Lytechinus pictus: one gene and its partners. The protein of the gene in region 2 interacts with the protein of the main gene of each other region in a pairwise test. Links are inferred from orthologs where the notes say so. Each region holds a gene or a part of one and is shown on either strand. Other genes may lie near its edges.

Region 1 (7,640 bases), about 14 Mb from region 2:
TGATATTGTGAAGATAATTTCATTCTCTCAGATTCATTCTCAAGTTGTGCAATAGCTGTAATAGAAACAAAAAATATCCAAATATTTAAAAATGTGAAATTTATCTACTAAAAGAAAATTGATAAATCCTATAATAATTTTTTTTTTCAAAAAGCGAGCGTGTGACATATAGACTTTCTCACTAGCATCTATGCTGTGCATATTTTGTCAAAATAAGCAATTTTTTTTTCATTTTCCATTTGATTTTGATGAAATCTATTTATTCAATTAACCTGCTCTTGGGCTAGACTTGATCTTTAATTAAGGCGCACAAGCAGAGAATTCATATGACCATTACACCACCTGATTGACAACACATGGTAGTGTATCCTATTGCCAGACACCTTTATTTCAGTGTTTTACAAATGACAATTAGAGGAAATGCAATCAAGACAAATTCACACTTGCTATTCCAAATATCAGGAAAATTATGAATATGGTAAATTATTTGATATTTACCAACCATTTTATTTGCATCGCACTTGCCGCATACCCCTCCACGAAAAACAATTATTTTCGTGTGTGACAAATTACATCATGATTCCGGACGGGTGACAAAAGGGAGAAGGGTGAAGATATTCTTGTCTAATAATGATGTAAGAAAGAATTTGTGTGATAATTTTTTTATGTATCACATCATGCGTAAACTCTAAGTTTTGATTGCTTTTTTCATATCGAATCTGAGCAGATGTTGGTAATAAATTTGTGTTTTCTAGATCTAACGAATTCTATTTTTTCTTGTTAGCTTTCCAATATTATGCTCGTTCATATCGTGATGCTTATCAAGTTCTATCCATGCGCCGTCGATGGCTATACTCACGTTAAACATCACGCACAGTATAACCTGGAGTCTAGCCGTCGACGATCACCCACAATACACCACACGTCAACATTCGATCGAAGGCACAGATGAGATTGAAATTTGGCAAATTAGGCCAAAAATTCCGTCAGAAAATATATCAATTGTTAATGCAAAACTATGCTGTATGATATTTTAAGCATTATCTGTCATTTTAGAGATAAATAAGGAAAAAGTTAGATTTTTTTCGACTTTGAAATCTTGTTCCATGTATTGCTCTGTTGAAAAATTGAAATGCTGAAGTCTTACGGTACGAAATCGTTGAGTATGCAATATACATGTACACGTCTGGAATCATGATAAGTGTCCAGTAATACAATACGTGACTAGATGTATACCCTGTGCTTTGACTGATGCTGAAGCTGCTGATCCTGGTCTTGCTGCACCAGGACCTGGAGTAAGTCTACTCAGTGCTGCCTGGCCTGCCATCTGAGAACTAGTAGTAGGCTGCATTCTTGGGGCTACTGGTTTAGATTGACCAGATGTACTGGATGGAAAAAAAGGAAAAGAATTTAGAATAAAACATATCTCGTCAAATATAAAACAGGATTGAATAATATTTAATAGATTAGATTTTAGACTGAAATGAGTTCTATGCCTGCCCTTGGAATTTGAAGTTGATATTTTGAATGGAAAAAGATTGGATAAATGGAAGTTTTGTGTCCAAAAGCGATTTATAATCATCTACTGTATTGAAGTGTGACGTCATCAATTTTCCATTTTTGCATGTCACTTTTTTTTATACCATATTTTGGCTGAGCATGATGAAAACCCCCACAGCCCAAATTTGGTGGGAATCGGTCAAGTCAAGACATGTCATAGGGCCTGGGTCTAGAATTCTTATTCATGGCATGAGAATATAGCCTCCTTCAATTTCTATTTAGTAATTAGTATTAGTAACTGTATAGGCCTAGCTGTAAGTAACAATTCAACTGAATCTTGTTATGGAATTTTAGAAATCCATTTTTAATCGTACTATTTTGCTTATTACTATGGCATATTATGCCTGCCTAGCTTAGACCAAAAGCTTCGGTCTCTGTTATGTTGGTTGCTCCGCTGAATCAACTCCGTTGGCTCCACTCACCAAATACAGAGACCGAAGTTCTAGCTCGATCTGTACAGGTGTATTGTATTGGTTATTCGGATCAACCAGAGAAGTGGGAGTTGCGCGACAGCCGAAGTCACTGTTTTTTTCCCCTTTTAAGTTTATTTTTTCCCGTTTTGGTGCATTTCGGGCCAGAACGGAATAATAATCTTTACTTTGGTATGGTATAGTGGATTGTATTACCGAACACTTTTCATGAATTCAATTATATCAAACACATTATTCTCATAAAATTCACCAAAATTTCACGATAAATACACAATAACCGGTACCTACAAAATATAGGTTATGTAAAAATTTTGCCGAAATCGTTTTTCCTTTTTACGATTTCAGCTTCCAATCGGACCCCTCTTCGCATATGAAATATTTTGGTCACTTGAAAAAGGTATCGTGGCTACACGATACTGATAGCGAGCCGTCTGTGTTCAAGAGAAATAATTTTTTTTTAACTCCTCGAAACAGACGGCTGCCAGCTGTTTAGCATATGCCATAACATAAGCAAAGCCAAAGGGCAACGACTGAAAAATGGTGTAGTCCCATAAATGGCAAACCGTGTCATGCAAAGTTCGAAAGAACAAAAAATAGTTTTAGTCTAACCGTTAGTTCAATTAAATATTAAATAGCAAATACCTGGGCTGTGGCGTACTTTCGTTCAATTTTACTCCATGACCAGCTCTCTTGAATTTCATATCCGTTTTCTTTTTGTCGAAGAATTCCCCAATCTTCTTCATTTTGAACAATAAATTTCGAAACGGCAGCCAACAAAACGAGAGATGAATCAGATAATATTCATAGGGTCTAACGTAACATTAGATGTAAACAATAAACAGCGCCAACATCTCGAGTCGAAGCCGGCTAGAGTAAATTAATTCAATTCAGTTTAGGTAAATATCACAAGAGAGTAGAGTAAGTATATCATAAAACTGGCGGATCAAACAACATAGAAAAGCAAGCGGCTTGAAAATTGGGGGGGATCTATTTTAGGATCCACAGCACAGTGTCAGATGTAAAGTTAGTCGGACCCCCGCAAGGGGCGTTCGTCCCCTAGAAAATTGCCCATTGAACATTAATTTAGCTAAATCCGTCTATGAAAAATTTAATCTGCGCCCAACATTTGTTGGTTGCGCCCCCTCCGTTTCAAATCCTGGATCCCATATTCCGCCACTGGATACATATCACACAAATAATAATTGAATGATACAATGAATGCACCAAATGTTACTTGTATTTTCAAAGAATAATGTTTGCTGTATAATAAAAGGAAGTGATAAGTAGCAAAATGGAATGACAAAACAAAGCAAAACAAAAATATATCACATTGATTGATGGATTCGTTATGTACATATATATATATATATATATATATATATATATATATATATATATATATATATATATATATATGAAGTAAGAATGCTCATCTGTAAAATTGTACTTGATTTATATTACTTTATATTACTTTGTATTATGTTTTGACTGGAAATAGAATAAAGATTGAATTGAATTGAACTGAATTGAATATATACAAAGCAAGTCATCCGTTTATGTTCTAACACACATTTGCCCATGCCCCATCTCTTTTCAATATATTCAACACGATTAATTATAATGCTAAGATTAATACCGTCATATAGTATCAATAATGGTTTACATTGAATTTGTTATAAGAGGAATTGTAAGAGCAATTACATTCATTTATTAAGTTATTTCCTCTTTAAGGATATTCATAGCATAGAATGATTAAGAATATTCCAACATGTCTCACTAAAGCTTTGTTACTCATGAATGTTCTTTAATAGGCCGAGGAATTTTGTTATTTCTGAATAGAGACTGCAACACAAAGAGATTCCAAGTGGTTGTGGTAATGAACAATAGGATTAGCTATGTTGTTTATTTCACTGAGGTCATTCAAGAATGTTCTAAAATTAGACTGCTCTAGAAATTGGCAGAATGTTCTTTTTGTAGACAATACTAGAAGCTTCCATAATAGTAAATAATTTGTATATAAGCTGACAGTTTCTTCAAGGACATCATTACATCATATCAGATCAGAACTCAGAGTTTCACACCAGACTTTATGTCAGAGCAGAGTTTATTTCCAACCGGAATATTTATCCTCTGTGGTATTATTTGCACGCCATCAATGAACTGTTTGCAGTTTTTTTTTGAGAGAGGAATTCTCAGTTCTCATCGAGATCATCAACCTGTTTTAATGAACGCTTTTCAACCCATGGATTGCTGAAATTGACTGTTAATCATCATCAACATCGTCTTCATGGACATTTCAACATGTTACAGTGACTCTTGTTATTCATCGTGCTTCAACATCGATTTCATCATCGCCATCATTGTGAACTTTAATTTAAGGAATCTTCGCCAACCAACTGGGATTTAATTTGGATATACTATCTTAACCTTGGATTGTGCATCTGACACTTCAAGAGACGTAAAACCATTATTATTTTTTATTTGTTTGTGTATGGTTAATTATATTTCCTGTAATAAAAAAAGGAAATCAAATTTAAAACTAAATTTTCATTGTTATTTGTTGCAGTATCGTAACAAATTCAATGATCATTTTCTTATCATTGATAAAAATGTAATATAAAGTTTTCAATATGAGAACTAAGGTCATAATGATATATATGGTTATGATAATATATATGCTTATAATATATATATATATATTTATATATATATATACACACATATATATATAGGCGTAAAATAATCCAGGCATTGAAGCTAGACGTAGTTTTCAAGGTATCTCATTTAATGCTAGCTTTCGGCCAGTAGGGCCTTCATCAGGCCATTATGTATTGAAACAAACAAAATAGAACAAAACCATAAAACCATACAAATAAAATCGTCAATGCCTGGATTAGCACTGCAACACACGTTGTGCAAAGGGCTCTCTTCCTTTATATATATATATATATATGGCCCGGTTTCTGAATTCGGGTTTAACTTTGACCACGGTCTAACGTGTTACTCTGTTCTAAAATTATGGGATGCCAAAAAATTGTAAATCCTGTTAATAATACATTTTTTCTTATCTTTACTATTTTGTTTTCTTTTGCTTTCATAATGAAGGAAATACTTCAGATATCATTCATAGACAATTATGGATAATTTTAGTGTCAAATGAGTTAATAAATTGGATGTGTGCTGTTAAGGATTTGTGCCCCAATGGGCTCTCCATAGTTAAACCACAACTTTAAATCACGGTGTAATTTAAACCTGAGTTCAGAATACAGGCATTTCTATCCCCTCCTATTGAGAACCTACTGACATCTTGAGCTCTCCGGAGTCAATAACTAGTGACAGAGCGACACCTGTCCTTATTCAAAATATCAAGAAATATATAGAGATTATTATCTCGTATAATATGTATCTGTTGAAAATTTTGAAATTAAAAATCATGTTAAATTGAATTGAATTTTTCATCATCATCATCATTATCATCATCGTCATCATCAGACCATAATCACCACCACCACCATCACCATAATCATCATCATCATAATCATCATCATCATCATTATCATCATCATCACCACCATAATCATCATCACCATCATCTTCACCATAATCTTCACCACCACCACCACCATAATCATCATCATCATCATCATCGTCATCATCATCATCATCATCTTCACCACCACCACCACCACCACCACCAGCATAATCATCATCACCATCATTTTCACCACCACCACCACCACGATCATCATCATCACCATCATCATTATCATCATCACCACCATAATCATCATCGCCATCGTCTTCACCATCATCTTCACCACCACCACCACCAAGATCATCATCATCATCTTCATCATCGTCATCATCATCTTCACCACCACCGCTTCCACCATATTCATCGTCATCATCATCATCATCATCATCTTCACCACCACCACGATCATCATCATCATCATCATCACCATCCTCATCATTATCATCATCACCACCATAATCATCATCACAATCATCTTCACCATAATCTTCACCACCACCACCATAATCATCATAGTCATCATCATCATCATCATCATCACCATCATTTTCACCACCACCACCAGCATAATCATCATCACCATCATCTTCACCACCACCACCACCACCACGATCATCATCATCATCATCGTCATCATCATCACCATCATTATCATTATCATCATCACCACCATCATCTTCACCGCCACCACCACCATCACCACCACCATAATCATCATCGTCGTCATCATCATCATCATCGTCATCATCATCATCTTCTTCACCACCACCATCACCACCATAATCATCATCATCACCAACATCATTCATGTAGGCCTAGATCAACACCGCTAAAGGTCAAATGTTTATCATAGGGGCCAACTCTTAACCGAGAGAAACGCACCACCGAAACGTTGATTAGTTTATGATCACAACATATTTTATATAGTTTATGAAATAATAGTGCCTACAATATCTTCTGGGTGCTGCATTGTGGCGTGCGCCTGTAATACATGGAGGAAGTATAAATTAACTGATGCAGAGGTCCGAGGTTCTAGCCATGGTGCACGTCTTTGAGATGGTGATGTTTAAGCCTGTTTAACCCTTAAATGACTGGGGGCATGATGCTCCCCCTCAACGTTTCGTGCAATATTTCCAAAACGCAAAAAAAGATAGCACCGCAAAATTTTATGACTTTTTTTTTGAGGTCTCGCGCAACTTTTGAGACAAAATTCGCGACATAGGGGAGACCGGGGTTAATTGGCACATTTTTGACAAAATGGCTGTAAAATCCAAATAGATTTTATTCGAGAAACAATCAATATATCAGCTTGAAGCATATATCTAAGGGCTTCAAAATAATGTACCCCATAAAATTTTCAACTCTATTATGGTTACTGAAAAAAATCCACCTTGAACAAGACCATCGCAAACGTTCCAACTTACCCCAATACGGGGTAAGTTGGAACATGGTATGGGGTACGTTGGAACACTGCATGGTCAATTAAGAATTATACTAAAACTACTTAAAACTGTAATATTACATGGTTTTAGCCTATTTGCTTTATTTTTTCAAGTTCAAAATATTTAAAGTGTGGATTTGTTGAACTTTATGTTTTCTATTATACAGCCACTCACGCAAGCACACTGTGTAGTAGAATTCCGCGTATTTGGGTGCGTTCGATTTTACATGCAATTAAGTGTACTATCAGCAATTTCATGTACTTCTGCATCAAATTTACAAGACAAAAATTAATTATTTATATTTTTTTCATTAATCAATTATGCAAATAAGCATATGAAATTTGCCCTAAATTTTTTTTTTGCCTTTAACCATATTTATTAAGCTAGTAGAATGCTAATTTTTGGTGAGAGTATCAATTTTCACATTTATAACAAATATCCACCAAAAATTGCCAAAAATGTAATTTCTTATGCATTTTTTGTTTTTTTATTTGTATTTCTTTGTTTTTTTTAACCTTTGTTTTTTCGATGAACTTTGTCGGGACTCTTTTGCGATCATAAATAGCATGAAATAAATCTATTTGATCAAACAAAAGTAAAAAATAATCATACATTTATGACTTTTGGTTGAAAAACACAATTTGCATTGACCTTGTACATGGAATCACGTTT
Region 2 (7,134 bases):
AATAATAGAAAATAAAGGAGGCAGCAAAATGACATGAATGAAAAAAAATATATATGACATGATATTTGCTACGATGTAAAAATCTATCACATAATTAGAATTTCATTTTAACAGGCCATTTTTCTTTCAGGCTCGCTTCGCTCGCTGGCGACTTTTTACAAATTTTCCCACATTTGCTATGGTGTGCCCCTCACAATATTTGGATGATTACGATACACAACTGCAATTTATGTGTTGTGTAAAAGCTATATAAAATGCACGCAATTTGATTAAAATAAGTGGCCATCTGTAAGTTTTAAAATGGCTTTAATATCAAGAGGTTCCGGAGCTCTGCCCTGGACCCAACCCATAAAGCACTGTTATATGATGGATGAGTTTAGACCATGGCCCAAAAAATTCTACAACCAAACAATAAAAAATGAGGAAAGAAATGAAAGTGTATTATATTTTTCTGAATATCACGTTAAAATCTATCTTCATGTTAGATTCTCATGAATAGGTGATTTTTTTTTATCTCGCTCGCTTCGCTCGCTCGGGACCTATATTCAGCTACTTCTTGCCACAAGCGCCATAATCGGCCCCCTCGAGCATATAGAGCTTCGCCCTGATGCTCACAATCATAACAAAAATCCTGTTCACCTTGGCGAACAAAAAAGAGAGAAAAAAGGAAAGAGAGGAGAGTGTAATATGATATAATCTTTTTAACATTATGTCAAAATCTATCACAAAATTGGATTTTTGCAATAAAAATGTCAAAAATTTGTTGCTCGCTCGCATTTATATATATATTTTTGCCCGATACGCCATATCGCCCCCCTCAAAATGTTTGCCTTATGACGCCAGTGCCTGTTCCATGATATGACCGGGAAATTTTTGGCTCTTGCCCCCCTGGCCACCGACCCCTGTTACGCCGCTGTTCGGGCTAACGAACCTTCAGATCAACGAACCTTATTTCGTTTTCGGACTGATGCATGAACCTTCGGAATTACAAATCTCATTGCGTTTTCGGAATAACAAACCTTATTTTGTTCTATAGGATTAACGAAACTTCGGAAGGACGGTTCTTCGGAATAACGAATCTTTGTTATATTCGAACCTTTGGAATAACAAACTTTCGGAATTACGAATGTCAACCCGTAGAACTACCCCTTAAAAGAAACAAACAAAAATCCGCTGGATCCGCCCCTGGTTATTTTACCATTTTATACACACATTTGAATTTCACTTCTCATTTCTTGTGTTCTCCACTTGTTCTATATCATGCGCCTGCATGAATAAAGGAAATTTACATAATAAGTGATATTCAAAATAGAGTAGTAAAATAAATGGGGCACCCCCAACGTGCTTAGTTGCGGTGGGGGGGGGGGTAAATTCATGTATAAAAGCATAAACATGAACATGTTATTATATTTCATCCTGGATTTTTTTTCTCCATCCATCTGTTTGAAACAGTTTCCAAAATGAATGGTGCTTTCATTCAATAGCAATGAAAATAAGATCATTATGAGATAATTAGATATCAATGGTCATCATGCATAAATACGTTATCCATCATAACCATCATTATGATAATCTTATTATTACTGCTTAATGTTTATGTAATAATAATAATAATAATAATAATGATATCATCATCATCATCATCATTATCATTATCATTATTATTATTATCATTATATCATTAGTAGTAGTAGTAGTAGTAGTAGTAGTAGTAGTAGTAGTAGTAGTAGTAGTATTATAATTGTTCTTGTTGTTGTTGTTATTATTATTAATAATACCATACCTTAAATTATTTGGGGATGATGATTCATGACATTCCGAACTAAAAAATACATGTAGACATTTTATGATTCTAAGCACATTTTTGTAATCATGAACGGGATAGATATATCACTAATCAAGTCGTGCGAGCGCGAAGCGCGAGAGGAAAATATAGATTTCTGACCTAAAGGCCTTACTCCTCCTTTTTTTTTTTTTTTTACTAAAGTCATTATTCCTTCCCCTTGTGGTATTTTGTTCTTTCATTTCTTTTGTAAGTTTGTGACTAAACCACCTGCTGTCATTATTTCTTAATTTCTCTTTAAAGGAGAATGAAACCCTTGAAACCAGCTGAATCCATATCAAAGAGAAAAATCAAAGAAACATATTGTTGAAAGTTTGAGGAAGATTGAATGAATAATAAGAAAGTTATAAGCATTTGAATATTGAGATCAGTGGCGTAACTACGTGCCCCCCCATGCCCCCCCCCCCCCAATCGGCTGGCAAAAAAAAAAAAAAAACGGGGAAAATTAGAAAAAGAGGGAGAAAGGAAGAGAAACGCAGTGGGGAAAAAAGAAATTATGTTCATTATAAATGTTATATTATATTATAATTATGTTATATTACATAAGAAGCATGTTTTCATAACTTTATGAAACATTATTTGCTCAGGCCCTATGTCTTTATTGTTCCTGGTGCTCGCATAGACTGTTTAACGAGATATATAATCATGTTATACTAAAACCTCCCGTTTTCAAATCAATATACTGTACACCAAATATATTTCCTCGCAATTCGAGTTATTATTATTTCATGTAGTGACATTTGCTTCTTTTTCATGACTACTTAAAGTGATTGCCCGATTTAAGGTCTTAATATAAAACATTTCCTGTCTGTGCTAATGTTCGCATTAGTTATTGGTGAGATGTCTGCTCTTCATGAATTCCTAAAATCAGTCCTTAAAATGCCCATTTTTCTGATCTCAATATCAAAAATTTTCAGCTCGCGCTTCGCGCTCGCATCATTTGGTGAGTGAAATACGTACGGTCTTAGTGAATTCCTGTAAACAAGCCTTAGAATGCCCCTCTTCATGTCTGAATTTCCTAAATTTTCAGCTCGCGCTTCGCGCTCGCAGTATTTGATTAGTGAGATGCGTATAATAATCATGATTACCATGTCTACAAAAAGTGCTAAATGTGTTTAGATGTAATTCTAACAAAATCAGCAAAGGATGGCACTAGCATTAGATGACTATGCTGAGATATGTATACTCTTAATGGATTCCTAAAATACAAAAATTCCGTTTGGGGTCAATATATACAAAAATTTCAGCTCGCGCTTCGCGCTCGCATTGTTTGTTTAGCGAGGCAGGAACGTATCACGATTACAAAAAATTCGCCTATAATGTCCCTTTTTAGGTCTGAATATCAAAAATTTTCAGCTCGCGCTTCGCGCTCGCATTAAATCAGTGAGATAAATATCCGTTTAATGGCACTGCATGTCCTTAAAATGTCTCTATTAGGTCAGTATACCTGGCAACTGAGCACGCTTCGCGCGCTCCCTAAACGACTCGAAATTTTTGCTGTTGCCCCCCCCCCCAATGCCGTGACCCTCGGTACGCCACTGATTGAGATCACTAATGACATGTAGATCCTCCCATTGGCAATGCGACCAAGATCTGTGATGTCACACACGTACAACTCCCTCATTACTTTAGTACTTATTTCACTTATATATTCTCACTTTTATAGAGTCTATCACAAGGTGAGGTGTTCTCTTTATGAGAGGACAAGTACAGAGGTTTCACAACATTATATAATTGATGAATCGTTTGTCATATGATTAGAATGAGCAAAAAGAGATGTTTTGTGGTATATTTTCAGTGTCCAAAAGGGGAGAGTTGTTCATCTGTGACATCATAGATCTTCGTGGTCGCATTGCCAATGGGAGGATCTCCATAGCATTAGTGATCTCGACATTCAAATGCTCATAACTCTTCTATTGCTAGTCCTATTTTACTCAAACTTTTGTTGATCTTATTCTTTGATTTTTCTGCTTTCACAAAAGCTAACTTGCTCCAAGAGTTTCATTCTCCTTTAAAAATGAATAGTTTCTATTTCACGTGGATATGACGTCACTGGCTCGATGAACCCACAGAAATATAATACACGTTAACAATTCGTTGGATGAACCCCGTCCCAAATTTAGACGATGTGGTCATTGGGAGAGGCTTAGTCTTAGTTTTAAGCGCTTTTCAAAAATGTTATTGAAATACGACGGATAAATTAATGAAAGTCGATAATTGAATCCAAGAGAATCGTATGAATGAAACAAAAAGAAAGAAACTGTAATTTTCGTGAAAAACACTATCTAGAGTAAAAATATATTTAAAGATATAATTAGTTTTTTAAACTAATGCAGGTACATTTCAAGACTACATTACCGCACCAATTTTACGTAAACAGACAGTAGTGAGGTATAATACCAAACAGTGACAGAACTAAGTAAAATAGCGCAGAGACATCCTCTGTTGACGTCGTTAAGTTTATACCGAGCTTTTGCAACTTTCCATTATATTACGTGTATATAGATAATATAGTTCGATAATGCCTTTTGGAAAGAAGAAGGGTAAGTAAATGGGCATTCAATTCCATTTCGATATGTGTAGAAAATCAAATTGAAAGAGCCAGAGTCTGTAAGCACGTGCGATTTCTTATCCACGCAAGGATATCGGTGAAATTCAGGTTTCTGTGCTATGGGTATACATATTTCATATGGGCGTAATCGCCTTTAAATACACAGGCAAGATTATTTCCGAACATCTCGTCTGACAACTGAATGAGGAATGAAATCAGAGTCACAACAGTGGCAATTTCAATGAATCATATGCCATGTGAATCAGGACAGAACTTCAGACAGTAGTAGAGTAGGTGCAAGGCCAAAATGGGAGACTGTCTGTCTCCCATGAGAGAGATCCAAGGGCAAGACCAAGTCAATATCACTTTCATCAGAGACTTGTCTTTTAGTTTTAAAGAATTTGGGTATCCAATTTCAGAGACAGTCTCCAGTTTGGGAGACCAATTTTCTTTGTTTACATTTGCTGCAAAAGGATCACCTTGGCGGCAAGCCGGTTCCCAGTTCTCCACACGTATTATTAATTCACTGCCGAATCCAAAATGGCGAACACGAATTGCAAGACTTTTTACACAACCTTCTCATTCCCAATCTTTTACAGTATTCAACATGTTATTCCATTAATCTGCTTATTATCATGATGATCATATTGATTTGCATTAACATGGTGATCATGATAAAAAATAAGATCGTGATCATGATCATGAGAATCACAGACAGATCACCTAATTCGTCCTCATGACGAATTAAAATTCTAGTAAATTATTATTTTCAGTATCAAGTGCAAATTTGTTAGTGCTTGACATCTAGGCTAGTATTGATAAATTGTAAATTTCATGGAAGTATGTGATTGGTAATAATGGATAGTGACTATTTCTTGTTGCTTGTATTTCAGAAAAAGATGGTAAGAAGCCTTACCCCACCCAGCAGGCTGCATACCCCACACAGCAAGCAGCTTATCCTACATCAGGTGCTTATCCTGGCCAACCAGCATACAACTCACAGGTAGTTCCATCTCAACAGCCTCAGGCATACTCTGCCCCACCTCCAGGGGCTGGATACGCTGGAGCCCCACCCCCGTATTCTGCCACAGCCTCACCTCCCCCAGCATCTCAAGTAAGTTGTGATAACCAATTATACTTTCTTTAGATGTCACACTTTAATACATGTATGCACCCATTTCTGTCATAGCACACTATGACTGAAATGATATTTGTAGTATATTTCCAAAGTATGTTTGTTAAATGAAAGGCCAAAAAAAATTACAAAATATTCAATGTGAGCCACAAAATGAGAATGTTCAAAAGAAAATTATGTGATTTGTAGTATATAAGGAAGTGTATTGTAATGTATTTTTTATGTCTGGATGTGTTCAACTGCTAAAATCGTTTTCTTTGATTAATGGCATGTAATGTTACATGCATTTTATGCCAACTCACATTTTCCCAGAATTAGGCCTGTATTTCCGAGTTAATTTATTGAACAAATGCATGTGCTTGTAAATATCAAGAAAGTATGCAGGCCTGTTTTTTATTCATTACATGTAGTTATAACGTTTAAGGTAATTTTACTGAAAATTTCAACGAATGAAAGATTGGTCATACATGTACATGTACACGTAGGATAGACGGGCAAATGTATAAGTTGGAAAAACAGTGACAACTGCGGAAACATCATAAATACAAACTGAAATAAGAATTTATGTATCTAACTTAGAAAGATTGTAATTATGATGAAGAAGGAAAAGGGTGAGTTCTACTTACATGATAGATCTAAGCACTCCAATTTATTTTATTTTTAATAAAACCACTTACATTTTCATCACGATAATGATTAGATTGCAGATTTACTATTTCTTCATGAAAGCAGCTGATTTAAGTATGGAAGAACCTTTAAATAGAAAGGGCTTCCAACAAGTATTTTATTTATAATGATTCCAGATATTGGATTATTAGAATAGCCTATCACACAGACTCGTTGTTATGCAAGAAAGCACACTAGTGGAGAGATTAAAATATTGATGTATTCACATTTATTAATTACAGGCTGGTTACCCACAAGCCCCTGTGTACCAACCCCCCGCTCAAGCACAGGCAGTAGTTGTCAATGGTGGATATGATGCTGGTGCAAGATTCAACTCAAGAAATCCTCCTTCAATTCCAGTGAGTTGTTTTGATTTGTCCTGTTTTCTTATTTCTTGTTTGTTGTTGCTATTTGCTTCTATATAATATTTATGTAGTCCCACTTGACCGGGGGGGGGGGGGGGAAAGCACTTCCATTGTCCTCAAATACTTCTCAAATAGCCCAGTCCTTTTAGAGTTAAGATATTGTTAAGGGAATACTTGTCAAGGATACCGTTTTGTTTCCAATACCTGTTAAGGGGTGCATTTTCAGAACATGGAAAATACTTGTTTAGGGTGCTTTTCTAAATCCCATGGTCACGCATGGTATCCACTCGTCAATGGAAGTGCCCCCCCCCCCTCCCTGGCCCACTTGGTTGATTATATATCTTATGAAACCTTAAGGAAATTATTAAGTCGATATCAAAATTAATTTATGTACTTTTCATGTATTTCATCTTTCCACCGGTCTGCTAGAAATTGCACCTACATGTAGGCCTATGGCCCAGTCAGTTTCACTCAGCATTAATTAGGAGGCAATATTTTCACTGTTTTTTTTTTTTGGGGGGGGGTAGTTTATTGTGTTAAAACTGTTGTTGTATTCGTTAGTATCAGGTAATTC
Region 3 (6,947 bases), on a different chromosome or scaffold from region 2:
TTGAACCGCTTTGTTATGACGTACATTCGATTAGCGATGTTACAAAATGCCGTTTTGAAGAACAATTTATAGATACAAATTATTATTAATCAAATACTAAAATTTGATACGTGATTATAAATAATAATTTATAATCACGTATTAAATTTTAGTATTTGTTAAATAATAATTTGTATCTATAAATTGTTTATAATCACGTATTAAATTTAAGTATTTGTTAAATAATAATTTGTATCTATAAATTGTTCTTCAAAACGGCATTTTGTAACATCGCTAAACGAGTGCACGTCATAACGAAGCGATTCAAGGGTCAGACCTAGTATTGTATTTGCTTTGTTGACAAACGGATCGAGGGATCTACACGAGATCGGTCTGGTAATAAACCTTAAAAGTTTCTCTTTTTTATTAACCAAATTTTGGAACCTTCATATGCATTAGGAGTTTGAAGGTTCAAATATCAATAAAATTCCCCTGTACAAAACGATTTCACCCTCTAACGTTATGTCTAATTTATGTTGTTGTTGTTGTTGTTTGTTGTGGGTCGTTTCCACACCCAAATGATCTCCTCGGTATACTCTCAGTGTGTCTGTCACAAGGTTGATGAGCTGCTAGGTACTATTTGCTTAGATACTGGTGCTAGTTGGCATTGGTGCTTTTGATGAAGCGAGCCAAAGAAGATGCTATTATAGATTGCATTTGGGGTGACAATTAGGGGTTAGTCCCAAGGAGGGAAAAGAGGGATATATCTCGAAGATAGGAGGGGGTGCTTGTCCTTTGATATCCAACGTCAATGGATTGCATCATCTCCTCTCTATGCGACTTGTGGAGTGGGCAGTGAAGAAGGACATGTTCAATTGTCTGCCTGTCATGTTCACAGTTGTATGTGGGTGTAGGGCATACACGAGGGAGTACTCTGTGCATATGGTCTCTGAGCTTAGTCTGTCCAGTTAGCATCCTCATGATCTTGACCTTTGTTGACCTTTCATATTTACTGGAGGCTTTCTTTCTAGTAACATTTGGCTGAAGCTGATAGGTCCATCTACCCTTGGTGGTTATATTCCATCGCCTTTGCCAGAGTCTTACAGTGTTCTTCTTGATGTTCTTGGTGATACTTGCATATGAAGTGGATGAAGAGGGAGGTGGAGCATTGCGTGCATGGTAAGCAGCCTCCTTTGCCAGTCTGTCTGCAATTACATTTCCATGAATTTCAGCATGACCTGCAATCCAAGTTCTAGTTACAGAACTTCCTCTATTGTGTAGAGGAATCTAATTTATACTAATAGCCTACATGGTCTATGGATTTCTACCTAGGGAAATCCATCCGGGTGTCAGGTCTCGCTTCTGCGTCTATGGGAAGAGTGTCAAGGCTCCATGATGAAGAAGTATATGTCAAAATATTAAAAAACATCATCATGGAGTCCTCAAGGACAAGGCTATAACTAACCCAGGGAGCGACAGCCCACGAAGCGGGCCGGCGCCCAGGAGCTCACCGTGTATTTACCCTACCTCAGGCGATGTTCGTGCAGGCTCCACTCCACTTCACTACCGCTACACTACCCTCCACCTACCCGAACATCGGGACAGTGAACTAGATCGGATATTCCGAGTCATAAAAGGTGGGATGGCAATTATGGGTATCGTAAAAATTAAAGAAAAAAATTATAACGAGGGATATGAATGACTTAATATCTTACTCTGCACCCGTATTTTACTCCGTGTCCATCCTACGGTTATCCTCAAAATTGGTGATTTTGGGCCAGTATCTTTTTCCTCACACATATTATTCACAGCCTATTTCAAAACATCGCATGCGATCGCGATCGATCAGCGATGAGGTATATTTACCCATACTCACGGGACAAGGGTAGATTATGGTCAAAATATCTAACAAGATAAATTGTAAAAACAGAAATTATGCACTTACCACGATTATATGGATGAAGGTCTATCGAGTGGTAGAATCCTGACATCGAGGCACAGACTGGAACCTCAAAAAAAGAAAAGTTCTCTCCTTTTACCCCAGTCTGGATCGGCCATTTTGTTATGATTCATAATCATATTCATAACAAAAATGGCCGATCGAGACTGGGGTAGGAGAGAACTTTTCGTTTTTTGAGGTTCGCCCAGTCTGTGTCTCGATGTCAGGATTCTACCACTCGATAGACCTTCATCCATATTATAATTGTGGTAAGTGCATAATTTCTGTTTTCACAATTTATCTTGCTAGATATTTTGACCATAATCTAGGCCCTACCCTTGTCCCGTGAGTATGGGTAAATACACGGTGAGCTCCTGGGCGCCGGCCCGCTTCGCGCGGGCCGGCGCTCCCTGGGTTAGGCTATAACCTGCCCTGGCCTGGGTTAGCTGGACATGCTGGACGCCGGAACTCAGGGGCCGATTGCACGAAAGGGTCTTTCCAAGGACCGTCTTTCGTGTCGCCCATCTTTTATGATATGCCATGTGAATCGCATTTCAAATAAATTATCTGCAAATATATTTTATTTGTTCGTTAAAATAAACAAAATATTTGTTTATAAAATGATGTGATATCTCATGAAATTGTATAAAATTTGATTTAAAAGCAAGCTTACGAATTTTATTTGTTTATCATAAATTTCAGAAACACCCCGCTTATAGCGCATCATAAAAGATGGGCGACACGAAAGACGGTCCTTGGATTTGGAAAGACCCTTTCGTGCAATCGGCCCCCGGCCGAGATTCTCCCAATAGTCCGAGTGAAGTCTAACTCTAACTTAAGGCCTTACGGGTCGGGGCGCGGCGCTAGTCCTCACTCCTAGAGTCCTACATCTACGTACCGGTACCGGTACGGTACCGTAGTCTACTTACGATTTTTTCGTAGTATTCTCGACGCCTCTCTGCTCTTTTCTTGTAATCTACCATCATTCCACGGATTAACCGTTCTTGCCTCCTTGCTTCGTGCCACATACTGATGTTTATGTGTTTCTGATGGAAAGCTGAAAAACCTAAACAAAGTTCACTTCAACGATTCTAAATGTTGCAAACAAGCGCCATATTTCTCACCAACTTCGGTTTTTTTTATTTTACGTACCGCCGCGGTATATAGATCTAGAGCAAGAGATGGCGCTAGACTCAAACCTGACTCAGTCTTACCGGTATATTCTTCTCCGGCCTTCCTTCTCCTCCTCCTCCTCCCATGGGCGGAAATCTCTCCTTGAAGGTAGGGGGGGGGGAGACACAATTCAGTTTCTGTTTTTATGTTCTACAGAATTACTAACTCAAACACACACACACACATACACACACACATATATATACATATATATATATATATATATATATATATATATGGCAGTGTATCCTATTGCCGGACACCTTTATTTCAGTGCTTTAAAAATGACAACTAGAGGAAATACAATCAAGAAAAAATCGCACTTGCTATTCCAAATATTATATGAAAATTATTAATATGATAAAATTATTTGATATTTACCAACCATTTTCTTTGCATCACACTTGCCGCATACCCCTCCACGAAAAACAATTATTTTCGTGCGCGACAAATTACATCATGATTCCGGACGCGCGCCAGACGGGTGAAGATATCCTTGATTATAATGATGTAAGAACAAATTTCTGTGATTTTTTTTTCTTCTTATATCATATCATGAATAAATTCTAACTTTTTGTTTGCTTTTTTTATATCGAATCTGAGCAGATGTTGGTAATAAATTCGTGTTTGATAACTTAATTTATTTTTTATTTTTTGGTTAGCTGCATGTTTCATGGCACTTTCCAGTGCTCGTTCGTATCGTGACGCTCATCAAGTTCTATCGATGCGCTGCCGATCGTCGACGGCTCTACTCACGGTAAACCTCGCGCACGGTACCTTGAGAACTAGCCGTCGACGATCACCCACAATACACCTCACCTCATCATTCGATCGAAGGAGCCGACGAGATTGACATTCGGCACTGAATCAGGCCCATATTTCCGTTAGAAAATATATAAATTGTTAATGTAAAACTATGTTATATGATATTTTAAGCATTTTCTGTCATTTTAGAGATAAATAAGGTAAAAGTTTGATTTTTTCGCCTTGTTTTTGCAATCTTGTTCTATGTATATTGATCTGTGAAAATGAATTGTGAAAGTCTTACGGTACGAAATTGTTTTCGAACGCATTTATATGCGCGTCCGGAATCACAATGGTGTCCGGTAATACAATACGTGACTATACATATTTCGAAGAGGGGAGGTATTCCTAACTAAAGATGAAAGGCCTCAATAAAATTATGCGAGCGCGAGTCCAAATATGTTGATATTTCATAAATTGTGACCTGGAAATTGAACATTCTGAACATTTTTGTGATCATGAACTAGAACCTAGAAGCTAAACCATTAATGTGAGCGCGAAGCGCGAGCTGAAAGTTTTTGATTTTCCAACCTAAAAACTAGACATTCGTAACACTTTTGCAAATCATTAACAGAATAGGAATTCAACTAAATAATAGATGCGAGCGCGAGCTGAAAGTTTTTTATTTTCCAACCTAAAAACTGGACATTCTTAACAGTTTTATAAAAATCATGAACAGGATAGGAATCTAAACAATTAATGTGAGCGTGAAGCGCGAGCTGACAGTTTTTGATTTTCCAACCTAAAAACTGGACATTCATAGCACTTTAAAAAGAATATGAACAGGATATGAATGCAAACAATTAATGCGAGCGTTAAACGCGAGCTAATCGTTTTTTATTTTCCAACATAAAAACTTGACATTCTTAGCACTTAATAATGAACGGAATAGGAATCTAAACAATGAATGCGAGCGCGAAGCGCGAGCTGAAAGTTTTTTTTCCAACCTAAAAACTGGACATTCATATAGCACCTTAAAAAGAATATGAACAGGATAGGAATCTAATCAATAATATTAACGCGAGCGCGAGCTGAAAGTTTTTGATTTTCCAACCTAAATACTATAGACATTCTTAGTACTTAAAAAAAAAATTAATGAACAGGATAGGTATCTAAACAATTAATGCGAGCGTGAAGCAAGAGGTGAAAGTTTTTGATTTTCCAACCTAAATACTGGACATTCTTAGTACTTTTTTTCAATTATGAACAGGATAGGAATCTAAATAATTAATGCAGGCGCGTAGCGCGAGCTGAAAGTTTGTATTTTCCAACCTAAAAACTGGACAATCATAACACATTTTCAAATCATGAACAGGTTATGAATTTTACTAAAAATATAGATTCGAGCGCGAAGTGTGTGCTGAAGATGTCATTTCCGGCCTAAAAATTGGTACATTAGCATATTTTAAAATCAAGGACAGGGTAGCTATCTAACTAAATTTTAATTAATGTGAGCGCGAAGCGTATCCTGATCTTTTTTAATTTTCCGACCAAAAAGTCATCTTCTTTTCACCTTATAGCAATAAACAGGATAGTATCTGACTCAACCATAATATTACTGATGCGAGCGTGAAGCGCGAAATTTTTTTTAATATTCAGATCTGAAAACTGGATCTTTCAAGCACTTTTGAAATTAAGAACAAGCAGCTTATCTCAATAAGCAATGCGAGCGCAAAGTGTGAGCTATTTTTTTTTAAAGATTTAAGCCTACAAATTATGAAAAAGATGGATATCTTCCTAGTAAATAAATGATTTGATTTTATATATTTCGATCTAAAAAGTGAAAAAATTTAAGCACGTTTTGAAATAATGAGATGGCTGTGTATTAATGCAAAGCGCGAGCGATTTTTTAATCTTTATACTATGACCTGAAAGCTTTTTTTTTTCAATTATTCCCCTCCCCTTCCACCATTTAATTTTCTTCCTCGTCCTATCTTTCTTCTTATTTTTCTCCTCACCTTCCTATTTTGCGCCGCCCCAATAGGGGGCGGGCCGCCGCTTCGCCCCTTGATCTACCTATGATGACCCCTCCCACGGCAGGAATTTTGTGTAAAAATTGAATATAAAAGTCTCGTTAATAGAGTATTTAAAACAAATTTTGGGGGATTAAACATAGTTAAAATTCACTGCGAAGGATTAATCATAACTCATGAAAACTATTATTTTTACTGAGTACGCGAACAATGAAAATATTCTTATATTCCAAGTAAATTTGGAATAAAGGGAAAATGAATTGGTTTAACAAAGGTATGTTTTTACGAGGTATGGAACATTGTCGTCTACCATCTATGCACTAAATTTACTTATAAGTATCCAGAGGCGATTATCTTTTTTTCGTCATTTTTATTAGTTATGAAATTGACAATGGCCATCGATGTCATCAATGTCATCACTCTTTGGCTGGCATATAGGGCTAGATGCGAGTTCGAGAATAGTCGGGCCGGTATGCCTTTTCTTTTCCTACCCAAGTTCTTAACAAAAACTATCTGTTTATATATATTTCGAAATTCGAGGATACATGTGTATAATTTCAATTTTGAATTATGTATTTTTTTCCCATAATGAAAGACCACAAATAGTAGGGAGGACATTTGATAGTATGTCCCCCCTTTCCAAAATGGTAGGGGGGACGCGTCCCCCCTGTCCCCCCTGCATGGGTTTTCCGCCCATGCCTCCTCCTCCTCCCCTCCCCCTCCTCCTTTTCCTCCTCCGGCCCTCCTCCTCTTCCTCCTCCTTCCCCTCCTCCTCCTCCTCCTGTCTTCCCTGGGTAAATGATGCTAATATATATATATATAAATAATAAACACAATAATGAATATAATAATAATGATGATGATGATTATTATTAGTATCTTGCTCAAACAATATATCTTACGAGATGAGAGATTACTGGAGAAAATATTGTGATATTAAGCTAATTATGCCGCATAAAATCCCTCGTTTAGAGGTAAAAAAATGATTGCTGGTATAGTCTCGTTTTTTCCAGACTACACAGCGCGAATATTATTACCCCGGATTTAGATCGAGCTGCCGTTTCATCAGTATACGCTCA

What was found. The genes of interacting proteins can lie anywhere in the genome.
Region 1: the proteins of DAZ-associated protein 2-like (region 2) and UBX domain-containing protein 6-like interact in binary tests that used the Homo sapiens proteins (3 or more experiments, as listed by UniProt). The link is inferred for Lytechinus pictus from reciprocal best matches to the Homo sapiens genes DAZAP2 and UBXN6.
Region 3: the proteins of DAZ-associated protein 2-like (region 2) and CLK4-associating serine/arginine rich protein-like interact in a two-hybrid assay, tested with the Homo sapiens proteins (2 studies listed by BioGRID and IntAct). The link is inferred for Lytechinus pictus from reciprocal best matches to the Homo sapiens genes DAZAP2 and CLASRP.

Annotation. Positions count from the first base shown.
Region 1 is NC_087247.1:47,551,416-47,559,055, forward strand, and holds the start of UBX domain-containing protein 6-like, read right to left. Parts: upstream 3,109-7,640; 5' UTR 2,735-3,108; coding exon 2,634-2,734; intron 1,386-2,633; coding exon 1,237-1,385; intron 56-1,236; coding exon 1-55. UniProt on the Homo sapiens protein: May negatively regulate the ATPase activity of VCP, an ATP-driven segregase that associates with different cofactors to control a wide variety of cellular processes.
Region 2 is NC_087247.1:61,784,190-61,791,323, forward strand, and holds the start of DAZ-associated protein 2-like, read left to right. Parts: upstream 1-4,023; 5' UTR 4,024-4,364; coding exon 4,365-4,386; intron 4,387-5,287; coding exon 5,288-5,508; intron 5,509-6,437; coding exon 6,438-6,554; intron 6,555-7,134. UniProt on the Homo sapiens protein: In unstressed cells, promotes SIAH1-mediated polyubiquitination and degradation of the serine/threonine-protein kinase HIPK2, probably by acting as a loading factor that potentiates complex formation between HIPK2 and ubiquitin ligase SIAH1.
Region 3 is NC_087251.1:20,022,495-20,029,441, forward strand, and holds the start of CLK4-associating serine/arginine rich protein-like, read right to left. Parts: upstream 3,109-6,947; 5' UTR 2,947-3,108; coding exon 2,848-2,946; intron 1-2,847. UniProt on the Homo sapiens protein: Probably functions as an alternative splicing regulator. May regulate the mRNA splicing of genes such as CLK1. May act by regulating members of the CLK kinase family.